4 linked regions of the Saccharomyces cerevisiae S288C genome follow. The protein of the gene in region 3 interacts with the protein of the main gene of each other region in a biochemical or structural test. Each region holds a gene or a part of one and is shown on either strand. Other genes may lie near its edges. The genes, in order: YGR054W, TEF1, GCN2 and GCN1.

The links.
Region 1: of the proteins of GCN2 (region 3) and YGR054W, one has a biochemical effect on the other in vitro, tested with the Saccharomyces cerevisiae proteins (3 studies listed by BioGRID).
Region 2: the proteins of GCN2 (region 3) and TEF1 form a complex in vitro, tested with the Saccharomyces cerevisiae proteins (2 studies listed by BioGRID).
Region 4: the proteins of GCN2 (region 3) and GCN1 form a complex in vitro, tested with the Saccharomyces cerevisiae proteins (3 studies listed by BioGRID).

What each region holds. Positions count from the first base shown.
Region 1 is NC_001139.9:595,113-599,163, reverse strand, and holds YGR054W (translation initiation factor 2A), read right to left. Parts: upstream 2,472-4,051; coding exon 543-2,471; downstream 1-542. Other genes in the region: MCO32 (Mco32p), read left to right, coding at 3,327-4,051. UniProt on the Saccharomyces cerevisiae protein: Functions in the early steps of protein synthesis of a small number of specific mRNAs. Acts by directing the binding of methionyl-tRNAi to 40S ribosomal subunits.
Region 2 is NC_001148.4:699,005-702,518, reverse strand, and holds TEF1 (translation elongation factor EF-1 alpha), read right to left. Parts: upstream 1,926-3,514; coding exon 549-1,925; downstream 1-548. Other genes in the region: GRS2 (putative glycine--tRNA ligase), read left to right, coding at 1-405; MRL1 (Mrl1p), read right to left, coding at 2,505-3,514. UniProt on the Saccharomyces cerevisiae protein: GTP-binding component of the eukaryotic elongation factor 1 complex (eEF1). In its active GTP-bound form, binds to and delivers aminoacyl-tRNA to the A-site of ribosomes during protein biosynthesis.
Region 3 is NC_001136.10:1,024,518-1,031,689, forward strand, and holds GCN2 (serine/threonine-protein kinase GCN2), read right to left. Parts: upstream 5,533-7,172; coding exon 553-5,532; downstream 1-552. Other genes in the region: MRX10 (Mrx10p), read right to left, coding at 1-238; DPP1 (bifunctional diacylglycerol diphosphate phosphatase/phosphatidate phosphatase), read right to left, coding at 6,033-6,902. UniProt on the Saccharomyces cerevisiae protein: Metabolic-stress sensing protein kinase that phosphorylates the alpha subunit of eukaryotic translation initiation factor 2 (eIF-2-alpha/SUI2) on 'Ser-52' in response to low amino acid, carbon, or purine availability.
Region 4 is NC_001139.9:129,685-134,551, reverse strand, and holds the start of GCN1 (Gcn1p), read right to left. Parts: upstream 3,028-4,867; coding exon 1-3,027. Other genes in the region: D-serine ammonia-lyase DSD1, read right to left, coding at 3,383-4,669. UniProt on the Saccharomyces cerevisiae protein: Ribosome collision sensor that activates a translation quality control pathway when a ribosome has stalled during translation. Directly binds to the ribosome and acts as a sentinel for colliding ribosomes.

The sequences.
Region 1 (4,051 bases), on a different chromosome or scaffold from region 3:
GGTAGCACCGCTTGAGTCAACTGTGGCAGTTTATTAGATGCCACTCGAGTGTGGTGAACGGCAATTCCACAGTCTAACTTTTCAGTTGGCGCCGTGCCATCTCCTGGCTGCTAGGCCGATCTGTTATACAAAACCCTACACGGCGCCGTTTCTTTTTTTTTTTTCTTTTTCTGTGGCAAAGCGGCGACAGCGACGCTAAAAAAAACTGTGGTGGCGGATGCAGCGCCGGCTTACGGAGCCGAAGTGACACTCCATATTCATTTATTGCCTGGCGGTATCGTGGCATACATTGTAAGATGCGGCTGGTGGCAATCCGCCAAGAAGAGACGTAAAAATAAGGAAAATGCTCACTAATTATGTATGTATCAATTACTATTTGATGTTAAAAAAATATGTGGAAAAGTACAATAAAACAAGGGAAAAAAAGAAAGGGGGGAGGTTGGCGTAATTCTCCTGGGAAACAGTAAAAAACAATTCAAAGTAGTATTATTTGACGTTGTTAATATTTACACAGTTGTATGGATACATCAGTTTCTTCTAGTTTATTCATCCTTCCAACCCAACTTTTCCAAATCTTTCAACACTTTTTCTTCAGTTTGAATTTTTAGAACTTGCGTATCTTCTAGTTTGTCACCGACGGCCTGTCTTTCCTTCAAGGTTTCAATAGCCCTTAATTTCTTTAGTAAAGATCTTATTTTCTTCTCCTCTGGAGAAGTTTCTTTATTGTTTGTGGGGGCATTTGTGGAGGCAGGAGCAGATGGGGCCGGAGTAGAATCAGGTGACGTTTCACTTGACTTTTTATTGGCTCTTCTTCTCCTGTTCTTGGTGTTGGCGTCCTTGTTGGCACTCATGCCCGGAACTAGCCCTGGGATGGTCTTCTTTGCTGCACCAGGAGGAACTCCGGGGACAATACGTCCACCGCCTGTTCTTCTTGCGTGAGGTGGTTTATAAGCGCCTCCAGCTTTGGCCTTAGATCCGTTTCCATTGGAGCTTGCTTCTCTGCTTGGGTGTTGACTTATGTACTCTTGAACGCTAGAATGTATTTGCAATTCTGATTTATTGGATATTTTAGGATCAAGTGAAGATGTGGTCGAATCAGGTAGCGGTTCCCAGTTATTAATGATATGGTTCTCGAAAAATGCTTCGTCTTTGTTTTCCAAAGTTTTGTAATTACATGGTGACCTCCAGTCTACCTTCAAAAGCTCCTTGAACTCTTTAACAAATACTAAAGAGCCTGATACATGCCATATTTTAACGCCGTTATCCACTCTCAATCTTGGTGAAGTGGTAGCTGTCATGATAAATTCTCCACCCGGTGACCATTTGCAGACAGAAGTGTTGGTAGCGTCAAATTTACTCACACACTTGAATTTGTCGAGACGATCTAGGATTTCCACGGAGCCCTGTAAATTACCAAACCCGGCGATAAGAATGTAATGACCAGAGGGAGAGAAAAGCATGGTATTTTTGGCTTGTTGAGGTAATGAATGGACAACATTACCTCTTAAGTCAAAAAAGGAAATGGTTGCTGGCATGTAACCAGCGATGACACCGAATTGCCTTGAAGTTGGCGACCAAGTGAAATCGTGGACAGGTCCAGTGGTTAAAGAAACACGTACAGAGTTACCACCCAAAGTCCCGTTGACACCTTGGAAAGACAGTAAGTATAGTGTGTTTTCACCATAATATGATTTGTTTGAGGAATCAAAATCAGTAATAGCTAAACATAAAATAGCATTACCTAATGGATTCCATTTCAATTGGCAGGAATCAGCTTTAAAGAAAGTTTTGGAGGCAATTTTCTTGGTGATTTTACCTTCAGAGAGGGCCCATATGATTAATTGAGCCGGTTTACCACCCTTTTCTGGTGTGAAAGTACAAATTGTTGGATGTTCAGCTGGAGAGATTAGGTAGGTGGTGAAATGTTGGGACGTTTCATCATCAGACAAGACAGCAAACGGAGATTGGAAGTCGAAATTGTCGGCATTAGCGGAGCTTAATTTAACAATCTTCAAGTCGTGTTTAAAAAGTCTTAGCCCATAATTGTCTAATTTGGAGAATTGTAAAAACCAACCGCTTTGGGATTTGGCTTGATATTCGTAAGCAGGGACTATATCCTCCGAAACGCAATCTTTCTTAAATGGTTTATTCAAATACCAAACTTTAACGTTCTTGTGATTTGGGTCTTGTATAGACGCTCTCTCCCAAGTGCTTAAGTAGTTACCTGCTGGAGAGAAGTGTAGGTCATAGACGTCGGACAACTTCATTGTTAATAGAACGTTATCCAAACATGGACCTGTAAAAACTTTGACGTTCTCCTTCGTAGATAAAGCCAAAAATCTGCCACATGGCGATAAAACCGAGGAAATGACAGGGAAATCCTTGGAGTTTGTGTTGGATTGCTCAAAAGTTGGGTAGCTTTGGAAGAGCTCTATATCCTGAGAGGTTTTCAGGAAAAACTGAGATGACATAATGTTTAGGTGTTATTGAACCTGACTGTTTGTTGTAGTACTATGTTTTTTTATCGAGATGCAATGGATAGTTTAAACACAACACGTCTCAATCAACACTAAAGAAAGTTATGATTCGGTAATCTATAGGTTGCTTCTACCGTAAAGAATTCTCGCTATGTCTAGTCGTCTGGATAGATCGAGGAAAAGGAATCTTCATTGAATAACGTACACTGAAAATAAATCGCTATGAAGCTGAAATTTCATTGATGGACATGAAGAAAGCGAAGTGAAAAAAAGGAAGAAAAAGAAAGTATTGAGGAACATTCTGCGGTCGGGTAATAATATCGTACAGTATGACAGCGGCAATTTTTAATAATATTTCTGCTCACTAATAAAGTAAAGAATATAAAGAAAGGACCTTAATCTAAGATAGATGTTACTTTTTCATCTTGCAGTTTTAACACATAGAACCGAGTCTAAACATATTGAAATATTTCGATTTCTTTTGTACGAGTGCTATAAAAATGGGAAAGAACTAAAAAAAATAGGACACAACATTAACTGCCTGAGTTTCTTGAGGAAAATATTAAAAGAAATATTAGTTAAATAAATAGATTTGGTGAGATGTATTTCTATACACTGAAAGACATTCATACGCATCTCATGATGAGTCGAGCGCCTTGCGTTAAGAAGGCGCGTAGTTACGGTTACGAAAAAAATGAATAGAATACAATGTAGAGAGCGCCCTTAAAAGGCCCATAAAGAGGGATGACAGGTATGAGCCATAAAGCTGCAAGCCTCTACGGAAAACGATACATCACAACCAAGGAAAGATAGACAGTTTATATTCATAGATAATAGGGGGAAAGACTTATGTTACTAAAGTGTGTTTGCAGAGCCGGCATAATATCTATCAAAGGAATCTTTCCTCGATGGTACTCCAATTCTCAAAAAGTGGCCAATTTGGGGCAAATAACAGATTATTTAGTGGTTAAAGGTGTTCCCAATTTGTTACAAAAAATGTTCAAGGAGTCAGTGTTGGCGGATAACGTTGTTTTTAGACTATTTCCAACATCGCATCCATATATTCCAGTGTTACATGGAAAATCAAAATACATGGCTTCTTTGAATGCAATGCGAATGATAGTACGAAAGTTTATCTTGGGCGATGAATGTCGCTTGCATATAAGTTCAGTAAAGACTCTAACATCGACATCGCATGATGAAGAAGTTAAATCTGCTCTTCAGAGTTATAATACCATAACATGTAATGACAAATTGGTGATCAAATGGCAAAGCTGCATACCGGAAGACCATTGCAAGATTACCAAATTAGAAATTAATGACAGATTGAAAGAGGAGAAACGAGGCAATGGTGCAGGCGGTTCATTTTCAATGAGGTCGGTACCAGTCATAGACTACATTTTACATCCTACAGCCAATAATTTGAACCAAAGTGTTATCTCTGAGTACCTTGAAAATGCAGCTGAAAGGTCAATGGAAAATAAGGTCAACGAAACTCAAAATTCCAAAGAAGATGAGAAGAAGAAAAATGATGGCGACGGTAAAAGAAGTAAAAAAAAGAGATTATCCCGGCT
Region 2 (3,514 bases), on a different chromosome or scaffold from region 3:
GTTCGAGTGGATAGTGAGTCAAGAGGCTTCTTCTCTTTTCCATTACAGATAGCGCCGATCAAAGTATTTGTTACGACAATATCGAATAACGATGGCTTCCCCGCTATACTTAAGAGGATCTCGCAGGCTTTACGTAAAAGAGAGATATACTTTAAAATTGACGATTCCAATACTTCAATTGGTAAAAAATACGCCCGTAACGATGAATTGGGAACACCATTTGGTATCACCATAGATTTCGAAACTATAAAAGACCAAACGGTGACGTTAAGAGAAAGAAATTCTATGAGGCAAGTAAGAGGCACTATTACTGATGTGATTTCGACCATTGACAAAATGCTTCACAACCCTGATGAATCGGACTGGGATAAATCAACATTTGGACTGTCGCCTGTTAAGATATAACTGAAAAAAGAGGGGAATTTTTAGATACTGAAATGATATTTTAGAATAACCAGACTATATATAAGGATAAATTACAAAAAATTAACTAATAGATAAGATTTAAATATAAAAGATATGCAACTAGAAAAGTCTTATCAATCTCCTTATTTCTTAGCAGCCTTTTGAGCAGCCTTGGTAACCTTAGCGGCCTTTTCAGTCTTGTCAACAGACTTGATAACACCGACAGCGACAGTTTGTCTCATGTCTCTGACAGCGAATCTACCTAATGGTGGGTATTCACTGAAAGCTTCAACACACATTGGCTTAGATGGAACGAACTTGACCAAAGCAGCGTCACCGGACTTCAAGAACTTTGGATGGTCTTCCAACTTCTTACCAGATCTTCTGTCGTTCTTTTCCAACAATTCGTCGAATCTACAAGCAATGTGAGCAGTGTGACAATCCAAAACTGGAGAGTAACCAGCAGAGATTTGACCTGGATGGTTCAAAACAATGACGGTAGCGTTGAAAGAAGCGCAACCCTTTGGTGGATCGTTCTTAGCGTCACCACAGACGTTACCTCTTCTGATTTCCTTAACGGAAACGTTCTTGACGTTGAAACCAACGTTGTCACCTGGAACACCTTGTTCCAATTGTTCGTGATGCATTTCAACGGACTTGACTTCAGTGGTAACACCAGCTGGGGCAAAAGTAACAACCATACCTGGCTTGATGACACCGGTTTCAACTCTACCGACTGGCACAGTACCAATACCACCAATCTTGTAAACATCTTGCAATGGCAATCTCAATGGCTTGTCAGTTGGTCTAGATGGTTGTTCAATGGCGTCAATGGCTTCCAACAAAGTCTTACCCTTGACGACACCGGCCTTGGTTTCCTTTTCCCAACCCTTGTACCATGGAGCGTTGGTGGTAGCTTCAATCATGTTGTCACCGTTCCAACCAGAGATTGGGACGAATGGAACAGTCTTTGGGTTGTAACCAACCTTCTTGATAAAGTTGGAGGTTTCCTTGACAATTTCTTGGAATCTGGATTCGTCCCATTTGACGGAGTCCATCTTGTTGACAGCAACAATCAATTGTCTAACACCCAAGGTGAAAGCCAACAAAGCGTGTTCTCTGGTTTGACCATCCTTAGAGATACCGGCTTCGAATTCACCGACACCACCAGCAATAATCAAGATAGCACAGTCAGCTTGAGAAGTACCAGTAATCATGTTCTTGATGAAATCTCTGTGACCTGGAGCATCAATAACGGTAACTTGGTACTTTGGAGTTTCGAACTTCCACAAAGCAATATCGATAGTGATACCTCTTTCTCTTTCAGCCTTTAACTTGTCCAAAACCCAAGCGTACTTGAAAGAACCCTTACCTAATTCAGCGGCTTCCTTTTCGAACTTTTCGATGGTTCTCTTGTCAATACCACCACACTTGTAAATCAAATGACCGGTAGTGGTAGACTTACCAGAATCGACATGACCGATAACGACAACGTTAATGTGAGACTTCTCTTTACCCATTTTGTAATTAAAACTTAGATTAGATTGCTATGCTTTCTTTCTAATGAGCAAGAAGTAAAAAAAGTTGTAATAGAACAAGAAAAATGAAACTGAAACTTGAGAAATTGAAGACCGTTTATTAACTTAAATATCAATGGGAGGTCATCGAAAGAGAAAAAAATCAAAAAAAAAAATTTTCAAGAAAAAGAAACGTGATAAAAATTTTTATTGCCTTTTTCGACGAAGAAAAAGAAACGAGGCGGTCTCTTTTTTCTTTTCCAAACCTTTAGTACGGGTAATTAACGACACCCTAGAGGAAGAAAGAGGGGAAATTTAGTATGCTGTGCTTGGGTGTTTTGAAGTGGTACGGCGATGCGCGGAGTCCGAGAAAATCTGGAAGAGTAAAAAAGGAGTAGAAACATTTTGAAGCTATGGTGTGTGGGGGATCACTTGTGGGGGATTGGGTGTGATGTAAGGATTCGCGGTCCTCGAAAATTAAAAGTCCAACGCGCCTGTTGCTTCCTATGTGATATGTATTATATGTAATATGCATAAATATATCTACTGCATTGTATTTTGAACGTACAAAGTATGCATTGTTTATACGCTATTATCAGCCAAAGTTGGGTGGTCGCTTTCTGTTGTATGACTATTGATGTCTAGGCTGTCAATAATTTCGTTTTGAGCCTCCATGTCTCTGAAGAACTCCCTGTTGGCAAGGCTGGACGAAGAGGCAGATGGGGATGACCGTAGTCTTATGCCCCCTTGACGGCTGTTCCTGCCTCTGACTAAAGACCTCATTAAAGATTTCGTGAACCTTCTTGTCGTCTTAATTATCCCGTTGAAAAATTTACTCCAGCGAGACCCGTCCTCTATGAGGTCCCAGTGTGGTTGCTCATTTAAAGATGGCGATATGTCGTGTAACTCGTCGTCGTTTTTCAAATGCCTATTTAGTTTAGCATAGATCCATCTTCTCCCCGCAAATTCGACTAAAAAGAATATAGCGAAGATACCGATGAAGATACCCAAAACGTTAACTTCATTCTTTTTGTTTGAGGTGGGGCACGCATGAATGCTGCGGACTTCGAAGAAATACGAGCAATTGTGTAGGTTTCCAATGTATGATATCTGGGCCTTTGATTGAATTTCTTTATCGCAGACAAAATTCAATAAAGTTGCCTTCTTGTCCTTCCCGTTCGGGCACATAGAGCCGTTTTCGTATTTGAGAGTTAATTTCTTGGCAGTAGAGCCGCCGACTAACGCAGGCCTTGTACTGAAGTCTCCAATCGATACTAAATTATTTTCGTTCAACTGGTCTACGTAAAAAGCGCCCGTTAGATTGGACAGTTGTTGCGACTCAGCTTCTCCGACAGGACTAGAGCAGATGCCTAACGTGAAGTTTGTATCGTAGCCCCAACCTCTCACTGACCACTTCGTCTTGGAGGATTCATGCTTGTTATTGCCAGAAATCTGTTTTTGGCCCTCCCTTAATTTGTTGGGAGTTGAAGATAGCTGTGATAGATCTATGTATGATCCGGTGACTGGGTTGGTTACCGCACAAAATAGATCTTCATCGTTTTCGCTTTTGGGTTTATCCGGATTTGCTAACG
Region 3 (7,172 bases):
CAAAACTTCGTCTCAAATAGCGAGTAGAATTCTTCGGGTTTTTAAGCATCTTCATTGTCTTGATATTCGTATCCACTGACTTGTGTTCCCTATTGGTCTTCTTCTCTGTAGCTAGTTTACCTTTCCAACGGCCATCTTGCACTTCTAAATTCTGTATTGATAAACTAGTTCCTAACCGTCTAATTTGGAATCGTGATACGAAACCGAATGTGCTAGTCAAACTTCTGAATGAAAGCATTCTTCACGCCATATTATGATCATTTATTAAATGTCTCCCGTAGGAGCTAGAGGAGCCTCACACAACATACGCACACATTTATATTCACCGAAAAATTAAATACAAAATGGAAAGTAGAGAAAGGAGAGAAGAAGTAGACCATCTCATTAAACCTACATTTGTCTTTAGTATCAGGAATATGTATAAGAAAGGTGACCTACCCCCTTTACAACGGTGAATTAGATGAATCAGCTAGCCTAAATATAGTATCTAAGACATTGTATATACTTTACCTTTAACTGATGCGTTATAGCGCCGCACAGATCTTTAAAGGCCTACCTCTGTAAATCGATAACAGATGATTTTCCGGTTTTGTGGCAGTATAATATTGCCCACCTATTCCCTTTATGAGCCTCTTTGGAGAGGTTATTATAAATGCTCGTGGCAAAGCTTCTAGGAGTCGAGTTATTACCTGACCCAAAAACTTTTCTCAGCCATTCTTCCTTCTGAGCCAAAGAAGTAATTGAGATTATTTCTAAAGTTTCATCTCTTAAGGCATCAACAGTGATAATTGGTGCATTGGATAAATTGTGTAATATCATATTCGAAGAATTTCTGGCTGCATCCTCATAAACCCACTTTTCCCTTTTATTAGCTTTCTTAGATCTTGTAGCCATGTTTGGAACATAAATTACCTTTTGATTATTAGTCGAACCAGCAACAACATCATCTATGTCACCTTCTTGACTACTACCGGCACTGCTGTTTTCATCCCATCTTTTAAATTCATCAGCCTTATCGCCCAAAGTGAGACTATCGTTGATCAAAGATTTATTACCAGTTTCTTGTTGGTACAAGGTTAAAAACTCATCAAGATCTAAATCTATGTCAACATTAGTGCTCAATTTTTTTATTTTTAATGGCTTGTACTTTCTCTTGTGATTGGTTAGTGGATACGCTTGTTGCTTAATCAGCAAAATCCAGTCTATACCATCCTGTTGAGCGCCAGTAACGACATCATCCACCGAGGAACAATCCCTTAACATATCCGCTTTAATGTTTTGCTTCCACAATGTATTCAGTATTGTAACCCCGATTGTGTCCAACAAAGAGTTCGAAAAACTCGATATCAATACATCACACCTGCTTGGCTTCCAATCAACAGCTGTATCTTTCAAAAACCTATTTCTCTTCTTTATCCTATTTCCAGAAGCGAGTTTGAAATAGTTTTGGGCTATACCGAATATTGTTTCCCACGCTAAGTTGAAACCTACAGCCTTACGAGTATTGCTGCTCTTTTTTCCTGATGGTCTGGCAAAAAAGGATATCAAAGTGTCATACCTCCCTCCAGCAGCTATCATATTACGTGAGGATCCATCGTCATAAACTGCATGAAACATGATACCTCCTTTGTAAAAAGCGCTATTGTAGTTACTCAAAGGAGATATCACAACATTTCTTGCAACTTCTAAGGGTTTTAGGTAACTGAGAACCTTTGATATATGGGACAAAGAGTCCTCAATTTTTTTTAGATGCGGACTATCAATCATCAATTTATACAGGCGTTTTTTGGCTGCTTCGAAGTCCAGTCTAAAATCAAATAACTCCAAATCATTCAATGCCGTAGAAGATATGTTCAGTTGCGCCTTTAGTTCATTCTTTACTTCCTTGAAGGACCTTGCAAAGCCTACTTGCGACAACATTCGTGAAACTAGAGGCCTTTGGGCTTTATCAATATTTGTAAAGTTGAAAACACTCTCCAAAATATCAGCATGATTTAATATGAAAAAAGTGTTTGTTTTCTCAAATACAGGAAATACGGTTAATATTTCATCGATAATTTTCAAGCTTTCTGCATCATAAAATCCTGACTCTGAGGAAGATTTTGAAATTATGTCGAAGTCAATCTCACCAAACTTTCTAGGTTCCAAACTTGACCTTGAATGATCAGGAGGTCGGTAAACGTGCTGCATCCTATATTGCTTAGAAATCAGACTTGGATTTTTAGATAGATACCTAGCCATAGGATAAGTTAAATCATATTGTAACTGCAAGACGGTACCGCCCTTGTCAAGCACTTCATATACATTCTGCGTACCGTATATGGGGGCCTTTGGAAAAATCCTCGGAGGAGCATTATTTTCAATTCCTCCATGTTTCCTGAAAATTTTAACTACCTCTTCTGTCATTTGGGACCTGAGAATGTTTGCGAAAGGAGTGGATGTTGGAACTGAGTTATCAAATAGAATATCATTTGTTAGACTGTAAGATTGGTTAAATAAACTTTCTCGAACTTGCTGTTGCCAAGGGGATGAAGGATTCGACAAACTTTTTAAAGCCTCTTTGATTACTTCATCCTGATGCTTCACAGGAAGCCAACCACTATTTAATAATGTCCTAGCACCAGGCCTTTTATTGGGATCATGGTCTATGAGTAACCTTATAATTTTCTTTTCAACTTTCATCTTATTATCGTCGAAATCAGGAGGAAATTCTATCGACACTGATCGTAACTTTTTCAAAATATTAACTCTCTCCATACCTGTACTGAAAGGATAGATCATTTCAAAAAAAATGATTCCAAGTGAATACATATCAATCTTTTCATTATAGTGACCTGTACCATCTAAAACTTCAGTAGCAACATACATTGCTGTACCAATGGCGGATGTTAAATTATCTGAGCTGCCTGGCAAATTCTGTGAATCTAGCTTAAGTATATCCAGAGATCTATGGACGTTCTTAGCTAACCCAAAATCACCGATTTTAACATTTCTCGATTCATCTATAAAAATATTCATTGGCTTCAGATCCCTATGAATGATACCCTGGGAATGTATATAACTCAGTGCTTCCAAAATTTGTCGAAATAACCTCCAATATTCATCACGTTGTTGATTTAAATTTTCAGAATGGATCAAATCATATAGCGTTCTATTTTCACAGTACTCCATTTGAATAAAAAGCGTACTTTTCTTCTTAACAGCAGTCATCGGTTTTACAAAATTCCTCCTTCTTGGAACGTTCTGGATACTCTTTGATTCTTTATCAGTATCATCTTGACTTTCGCTCGAGGAAGTCGAGGAAGTATCATGGTCTAGATCTTCATTTTCATCATCACGAGAACTATTTTCAAAGACAATATCCGGATATCCTGACCCCGATATGAAATCCCAGTTACTATTATCCAAATCGTGATTTGTTCTATTTTTAAAAATACTGCTTTGATCTAATAAATCATTTTCCTCAAAATCAGAGGAAGATTCGCTCAAGTCACTTTCTTCATCAGTTGATTCAAAAACGTTTTCATCCATACTGTCTTCTTCTAACCATGCAGCATAGTAACGCACAACATATTGATGATTTAAGCTTGCTAACAGCATTACTTCACTCAATATAGTAGATAACTTTTCTTCTGTATGTCTAATCTTCTTGATCGCATAGTATCTGCTATCGAGAGCATTACGTGCCTTGACAACTTGTCCAAATGCGCCCTGGCCTAAAACTGCAATCTCTTCAAAGTCAGAAGCATATCGTGATCGCGTTGCAGGATTTATAGAAGAGAATCTGGAACCAACATTAAATGATCTTCTTCGTATACTCGATTGTGAAAGTGTTCTACCTCCATTGCCCCGAACGGTTATGGTATCTCCAGGAGTTAACTCCAAGGAATTAGAATTGACACTTTCGGAAACTAAGTTAAATCGATTGATTGTAGAGTCAATATTGGTCCTTAAGAATTTCATGGGCAGTAGTTCTAATGTTCCTAATCTTTTCTTCGGATCGTTATTAAGCATTTTCGAAAGAAGATCATATAAAGTTTCATCCATACTTGTTGAATCTAGGAATTCTTGAGGCGTTTCAAAATTCATCACTATATCAGATCCACTGATTATCTGGATAAACAAAACACCAAGTTGCCAAATATCAGTTAATCTTTGAGGTTTGGCGTTATTGAATTTCAACAACTCAGGGGCTATCCATGTACTTGGAGATAACTCAACCGAAGAACCATTTTTATTTGGATATCTCGATAGCATATTCAAAACAGTGTAGCCATAAGTGGAGTGAACTAACTTGGGAATAGTGCTTCCAAAATCTGCATCCTTCACCAGGATCACGGTTTCTAAGTTGATACATTTATGAACAATTCCCAATTTGTGTATGGCCTCCAATCCTTCAAGCAATCTAATCATCCAAATACGCGCTGTTGCTAAGTTAACAAATCCAACAGATTGTATCAAATCTCCCAATGGATAGTAGTTACAGTACTCTGTCAAGAGTCTTATTTTCCAAACAAACGTTGCATTATTTCTCCCCATGCGCTCCACCGTATAACCGAACAATCGATTCACATTGTCATGCTTAGCTTTCAACACCGTCTCTAACTCTTTCTCTAAATTTGCTATTTCTTTTTTTCCATTACTTGTGTTGAAATAGCTATTATCCAATTCAATTTCAGATAGCAAATAGTAGAAATTTTCCATCATTTCAGAAGACATTAAAAAATCTGCCAACGGAGATTCTGGTGGTATATAAGGCTTCACAAGAAATTGTTTGGAAAAACTAAATATATCTGATGTCAGTTTTATTGGCTTAGGATTTACAACTGCTTTAAACTTGAACATTGAGTTATTAGGCAATTTTGCCTTTATAGTTTTTGAAAAGACAATAGCTTCACCTGATGCAACCCATTCTGAAGGTGGTTGTAAATCTAACTGGGTTGTTCTGTTGAATAGCAAATCATCATCATCATCTTGTCTTTTCTCCAACTCTCTTTGAACAATTTCATCTATCCTTCGCTGCTCATCTGATCTTTTTTTTATTGTTTCCTGTTGTTTTTCTCTTTCTTCCTTTTCTAATTGTTCTTTAGTTTCTTTGATTCTTTGTAATCGATCATCTTCCAAGGACTGTGTATTTACCACATTTTGAAATTCGTCCAGTTTTTCTTGAGTAAAAGATGTAATTTCAAATATAATCTCTTGGCCTCGGGAGGTGTTGTGGATTTTCTTAAATTCACTTTTCAGCATTTGCAATTGACTATCCATTACATTTTGTACATTTTTGAATTCTATTTCTGGAGCGGTATAAGGATACATTGGGGTCATCGCAAAATGTAATGTTATAGAAGATTCAACCGGCTCTTTGTCAACAGATCGAAGCGTAATTTCGAATATAATCTGTGGCTGCTTATCCCAGCTAGACTTTCTTTTAGTTAAGTCAGTAAAGTCATCCATATAAATGGAACGTATCGCTTCAAGTTCGTTGCACTGTATTTCATAATATTGATCTAAAGTGAGATGACTCAATGACATTTATACATAGTATGTGTTAAGGGGAACGGAAAATTATTGAAAAAAAAAATCAATGCTTATAAAATCTTAAAAGACAACGAGGCTTTCCAACAATGTAAAGATTGAAAATTTAGTGTATTTAATGTCCTTTTGTAATGAAAATAACTTCTTGTAAGAAAGAAGATAGAGATAAATGTAAAAGTAAATTTGCTTAAAAAGATTCTAGGCTGTTTATAGATTGATTACACCAGGTTCTTATCTCAAAAATCAGCTACTCAACTGCTTCCTAAGAAACTACCTACATCACTATAGTCCAACTTAAAACAAATAATAAACTTCTAAGGCTTTCGTGTAAAGTGATGTTGGGATTGTCCGATGAAATAACAAGCAGGCCCTTGCACGTCAAGATTAATTTGAATAAAGAAGTAACATGTCATCTTTATGTAATCGCTGTTATTCCATACAGAACAATAAATACGTATATTTCGTATGTCATGTGGAGTATATATTCTTTTTTATTCTTACATACCTTCATCGGACAAAGGATGTAATTCCTCATCCGGGATCCTCTGATGGGTGACTGCTTCCTCCAGGGTGACATCTGAATCGTCCATCAATGGTTTGAACGGAAGAGGATCATCAATGGGTGGGAAGATTCTTCTGTAGAAAAAGTGTGCCATTATATAACCCAACATAGACCCTAAAATTACATCGACGAAATGATGTCTGTAATCTTGAGTTCTGGATAGAGCAATTAGTGCAGCTCCTAACAGTGGTAGAAAGGCCACCATTTTTCTCCATAAAGGCATCAACGGTGATTCAGTCAAAAGTTGCCCACATAGCCAGAAGTACAAATAACCCAGTCCTGCAAAGCTTTCACTTGAATGACCTGACGGAGTTGTCCTAAACCCATCCAACAGACGTTCGTGATTCTTAGTCGTACACACATCTTTTGCAGTAAATAAAGTGTCCAATGGCAAGCCTTCAACAGGTTGGCAACGATCTAGAAAATCTGGTCTTAGTCTTCCAATCCAATTCTTGATGAAGTTTGTAAAGAAACTCGTACTGAACCAAGCGAGTGATAAACCAAGGAGAGATGTGTACAAAATAAAAATCAAATGTCTTCTATCGGCCAAAATGGAACCAATTATCAATATGGTTAAAGATGGCACGACAAAACTATAAACAAACAACATGTTGTTATTTACACGTTCAGTTGTCGCATAAGGATGCGATATAGTGAGATCGTTAATGTAAAACTGACGTTCGAACGGTTGTTGGTAATACACTGGGTAGTTAAGAAGTATCATGATAATGAGCAAAAAGACATCTTCTAATCTCCATTTCGCCCCTATGTTGAAAGGCGTTTTAATAAACGAAACTCTGTTCATTTTGGTCGTTTGCTATGATTTAATTCTGATTCTTTGCCTTTAACAATTGATAACGTGCCCTTTATTGAACTGCTAACTACTCGAAAAATTGGACACAATTCAGTTTATAGCAGGTGTCCTTTAAGTGATGTTTGCTGATTTCCGAACTGCGCGTATGTTAGTGGACCCTAGATAACAGTTTATTCCCTAACGTTTCTAGATAATATATGACAAAAATATACAACCGATCGACAAATTATTTCTAAAATACAAAAAAGTTAGTCGTGAGGT
Region 4 (4,867 bases), on a different chromosome or scaffold from region 3:
TAAAGATAGAAGAGATAGTAACACTTCAACAATGGAAATTCTCGGAATGGAAGGATCCTCAAAAGCTTCAGCGTGTACAGAAATAATTTCCATGGCCAGTAACAGATGTTCTTCTTCTTCATCTTCTTCAACAAACTCAGCCTTAACAACAGGCTTGTCCGCATTCTTTAATGCAATCGCCTTACCCTTTTCTAAAACATTAATCAACAATGGTAAAATATATGTCAAACTGATGGAATCTATTGCTGCTTGGTTGGAGACGAACTTGATCCTAAAAAGAACTCTTGTAAGTAATTCAACCAGTGGTTCTTGTAAATAATCTTGCGAGATGCCATTAGCATTGTGCACACGCAAAGTCGCCAAACCTAAGAAAAGTCTGATATTACCTAATCTCTCGGAGACATTTTGAGAAAGCTGCAAGAACACATTATTTACATCCTCTGTTAGCTTTGAAATATTTGGTTCCGAGCATAGGTACAAAAGCTTTGTGACTGCCAAGGGGAACCAAGTAGCGATGCCATTTTGGACTAAGCAAGCAGCTTTGGAAAGTTCAGATACCAATCTAATACCACGCTTTAAACGAGTGGAAATTTCCGAAACGTGTGATCTAACTGCAGATTCTTTCGCTAACTGTTCATTAACGAGCTCTTGTTCCTCTTTTGAAAGTTTTTTCACATTCTTTTTGGCTTGCTCCTTCCTTATTTTTTGTTCCCACATTAGAGTTTCGTACTCTTTAGAATTTTTATTGGAAAGTTTCTTATTCATGCTTTCTTCCAGGACGTCAACCACCAGAACACCTTCCTCTCCTGCAAAAATTTCGAAGTCCTCTTCAGATAAACGTGAGAAATCATCCGCGGTTAAATCTGCTTCGATAGTCTTACAAAGGATCGGTGTGAACTCATTAGGCTGAATAAATGCTGCATAGGCAGCTGCTTGCAAACCGCATGCACCATAAATTGTATCTATCCATTCACAACTACCTGTGATTTCAAGAATCTTCTCCATGATAACGCTAGCATGTTCTTTGACAACTTCAGCTGGATCAAGCCTTGCACGTAAAACTAAACCAGCCCAGCCATTCTTAATGTTGAAAATATTCCATTGCGCTATGACCAGAGCATTGATTAATACCTTTATCGAGGCTTCCTTGTCAGGTAACTCAGACGTAATGGCCAGTAGTACAGAAGTGACATATTTAAAGGATGTATTTTGTTGAGGTATTAATTCTTGGACACGCATTCTCCTTTCAATTGCATCAATCACGCTAAACCCAATAAATTCGGGTTTCTTGTAGAACAATTCTTGTAGTAAATTAACAGCATGAATACGGTTTTCGATGGATAGCTCTGTTGATAATGCAGCAGTTAAGATAGCATCACCTATCGAAGAATTTTCAGGAAGGGTTTCTATGAGCTGCATAACACGATCATTTAGCTCAGTATTGTCCAATGCCAAAATTTTGTTTGTAAATTCAATTGATGCTAGAATACATGCATGCCCGTGAGTCTGATAATGTATGATGGAGTCTTTCACAAATTCCAAACAACCGTCTATAAAGTTTAAAATCACCTCTTCAGAGGCAGCATTGGAATTGTTCAAAAATGCGGCAAACCAGCATTTTTTCAAAGCAGGTTTTTTATCTGCAAAACCAGCTGATATAATTTTATCCAAGTCTTCAATAGGTTTGCCCAGACTAAAATAATGAACAAAAAAAGCGTTAAGCATTAGAGTCAAGGCTGCTTCATTACCTTCTTTACCAATATATGGGGACAGCCCTTTGCAGATTTTTTCTGAAACCTCATAGTGCGTTAAGGGTATTTCTATGAGAATTTTGGAAATAAGTGATTTGTAATCTGCATTTAAGTTCGATTTGATGTTCTTAAATATTTCGTCAATAAGCTTGGTCAAATCTTCCAAGGTAGTGTCAGTATTGGAAATTTTTCTCAATAAGATTATCATAGACTGAAGCGAGACGGATCTAACTACCTCTTTTGAGCTTTTAAATGACGAGAAGTATTGATTAATCAGTTTCGAGGAAGCAAAGGCATTTAAGAGATTTACTTTTTCAGGAGAAACACCAGCATATAACTCAGATAAAATCGAAAAACCAACCTCAGGAGATCTTAAAACTGCTTTTTCAATATTAGGGATGAAAAACTTAATGAATAACTCTTGTGAAACAAATTCTTTTAAAAATGGCTTCAAACCAATCTCTAAGCAAAAGGAAGATGGTGGGTTTTTGCCTAAAAACACTTCTTTGCCCAAATATTCGCAATATTTCTCTGCAGAATTTTCCTTTAAAACGGAGTGCAGAGCTGGTTGCCTCGATAATAACTGAAGTGCAGCCTGAGTTAGTGCACCCATTATCATAACTACTCCAACACTGGTTATCTTCAGCTTAGAGTAGCTCTCCAGTACAGTTTTAATTGAAATCTTCATGAAGGAAATACTGTCGTCATTATCCTTCAAGCACTTAAGGAATGCTTTGACCGTTGTTTGGAAAATGCAATAACGAATTCTCTTTCTATGCTGGTTCTGCTTATCTTGGGATTTCTTGCCTTCTTCTTGATTGTCAAGAATAGTTTCCACACCGAACGTTGCATAAGAATGGGCGACCAACAATTTTGGAATGTACTCTTCAAATAAATTAGAATTATGCGACACAAAAATCAAGAAAGAATTAATCCAATCTAACAAATTAAGGTAATCAGCGACTGCTTTGGTAGCCGGATTACTGATGACCACGTCGGAAATGAATCGGATAAAGTTTTCTAGGAGACATGGCTCTAGATTTAAGATGTCAAGCAATATTGAAGTTACCAAACTTTTAGACCTATTGTCTTCGTAAATCGTGAAGGTATTCAATAAAACGAAAGCAATTTCAGATAATTGAGGTTTTTCCAATGTTTCTTGACGAACTAATTGTGATATATCTTGCAAAAAGGGAACTCTTTTAGACACGTGTGATTCGCGGGTGCCTTTCTCTAAAACAGGGGATATATCTTCCCAGTTTAAGATAGCTGTCATCACTGTAGGAGTTATTGGTGTCAGTCAGAGCTTTGTTTGTCTTAATGATCTACTTCAGGTTTAATAAGTACAACTCAAAGATCTTTTCGAAGGTTTAAATTATTCAAATTTTTCATTCGTACGTAACGACTTTATTGAGAAGCTCAATGACGGTAGTTGAAATTTCATAGCATTATATCAACAAATAAATCTGTATTACAATTACCAGCTCGCAGGTAATGCGGAAGCTTAACAAGAGGGTGTTTAGACCAACCTGTGTACAACCTTACTCTTAGTTACTATTTATAAATAGATACACAATTACATAGACACAGAGATGCTTTGATGAGAGTGATAACCAACGACAAAAGAGAGCTTACCATTTCTGAAAAGGTAACCAAACATCGTTGACAATGCCTTCGCTGTTTACCACGAAATAATATGGAAATTGTCCCATTGTGATACAAGCGTGTTGAGGAAGGACGGCAATTTTGCTGCCTAATTTTAATGGAGTAGTTTCGTTCCAGTTTCTTATTGGCCTCAGTATCCCGTGTTCTTGAGAGACCCTTGCTACATACCATTCCCTACTGAAACTCTCGGATTTTAACACATGTTCCAAATCAGCACATATTCCAAACCCTTTTATTGAGGATGCTTCTCGCGTTAGACACATTACACCTGTATTACTCAACAATTCACCTCTAGAAGGGTAAGATGATAGTACTGTTCCTAATACAAAACCAGACAATTCGTGATCTTGGACACAGCCTGTTGCCACCTGTTGCAGGTCATACATGCAGTAATTACCGCAGTGGATTTCAAGCGTACTAACTAATTGAGTAGTAATGAATTTAACAAGGGTACTTTTATTATCGAGTTTCAAAGAATTGGAAGTCGGAGTAGCGCCCACAGAAAGTGTTAATTTAGAAGGATCAAACTGAGGATCCACAGAGCACAAAACTTTAGCGGCAGAATTGACTGCTTTCACTTCTTCCATCAAAAGATTCTGAGTGTCGTTGATCGAGGTTGAAGAGTAGCTGTGTCCGGCATGAGCATAAAACCCATATGGCTCAATTACTTCTTTAATTTCTGAGGAAGTCAGTTTTTTTAAAAGACTCAAAAATTCTGGAGAGTCGAAAGCAAGACCTGCCCTCTTAGTCCCCATATCAACCTTGATAAAAACCGACCATTTCTTGCCGGAAGCAGGCCTACCGAAATTCTTTAAATTCTCCAAGTGTTCAATGTTATCAACAAAAACCTGAAAATTATTCACCCTTCTTGACAAATTGCTCAAAAGAGGAATAAACTCTGGAACGCAACAGGGTAAACTATATGTTATATCGTCAATATAATCCGAACATTGTCTATCTTGATAATTAAGAAGTTCTTCTGCTTCTTTCAAAGTTGATACTAATATGGCTCTTGTAGTGCGTTTAGCCAATGGAAGTCCGTGGCCCAATTGTTTCAAAGTTCCCTTTGCTGTCTTATGCGTTTTTACGTGTGCACGAAATTTGATTGGTACGCCACATTCCTGGCTGAGCTTTTCAACGTTGTTCAACATTGTCGTACAATTCTTATCAAATTTTTCTTCATTAATAACGAAATTGGGTGTGGGTAAATCTCTGACTGAGCACCCTTTATATTGAGATAGAACATCGCTCATTTCAAACTCTTCTTAGGAGCAATATTATACTTCCTTATCAAGAAATGAAGTATTTATGTGCACTTAATTCCCTTTCGTGTTGAATAAAATTGACAGTAAATAGTGGAAAGAAATCTTTTCACTCAAAAGCTTTATATATGTACACATATTGTTGTTCCATGGTTTTGAGAGATATTTTAACTCCGTCTTATCACTCTC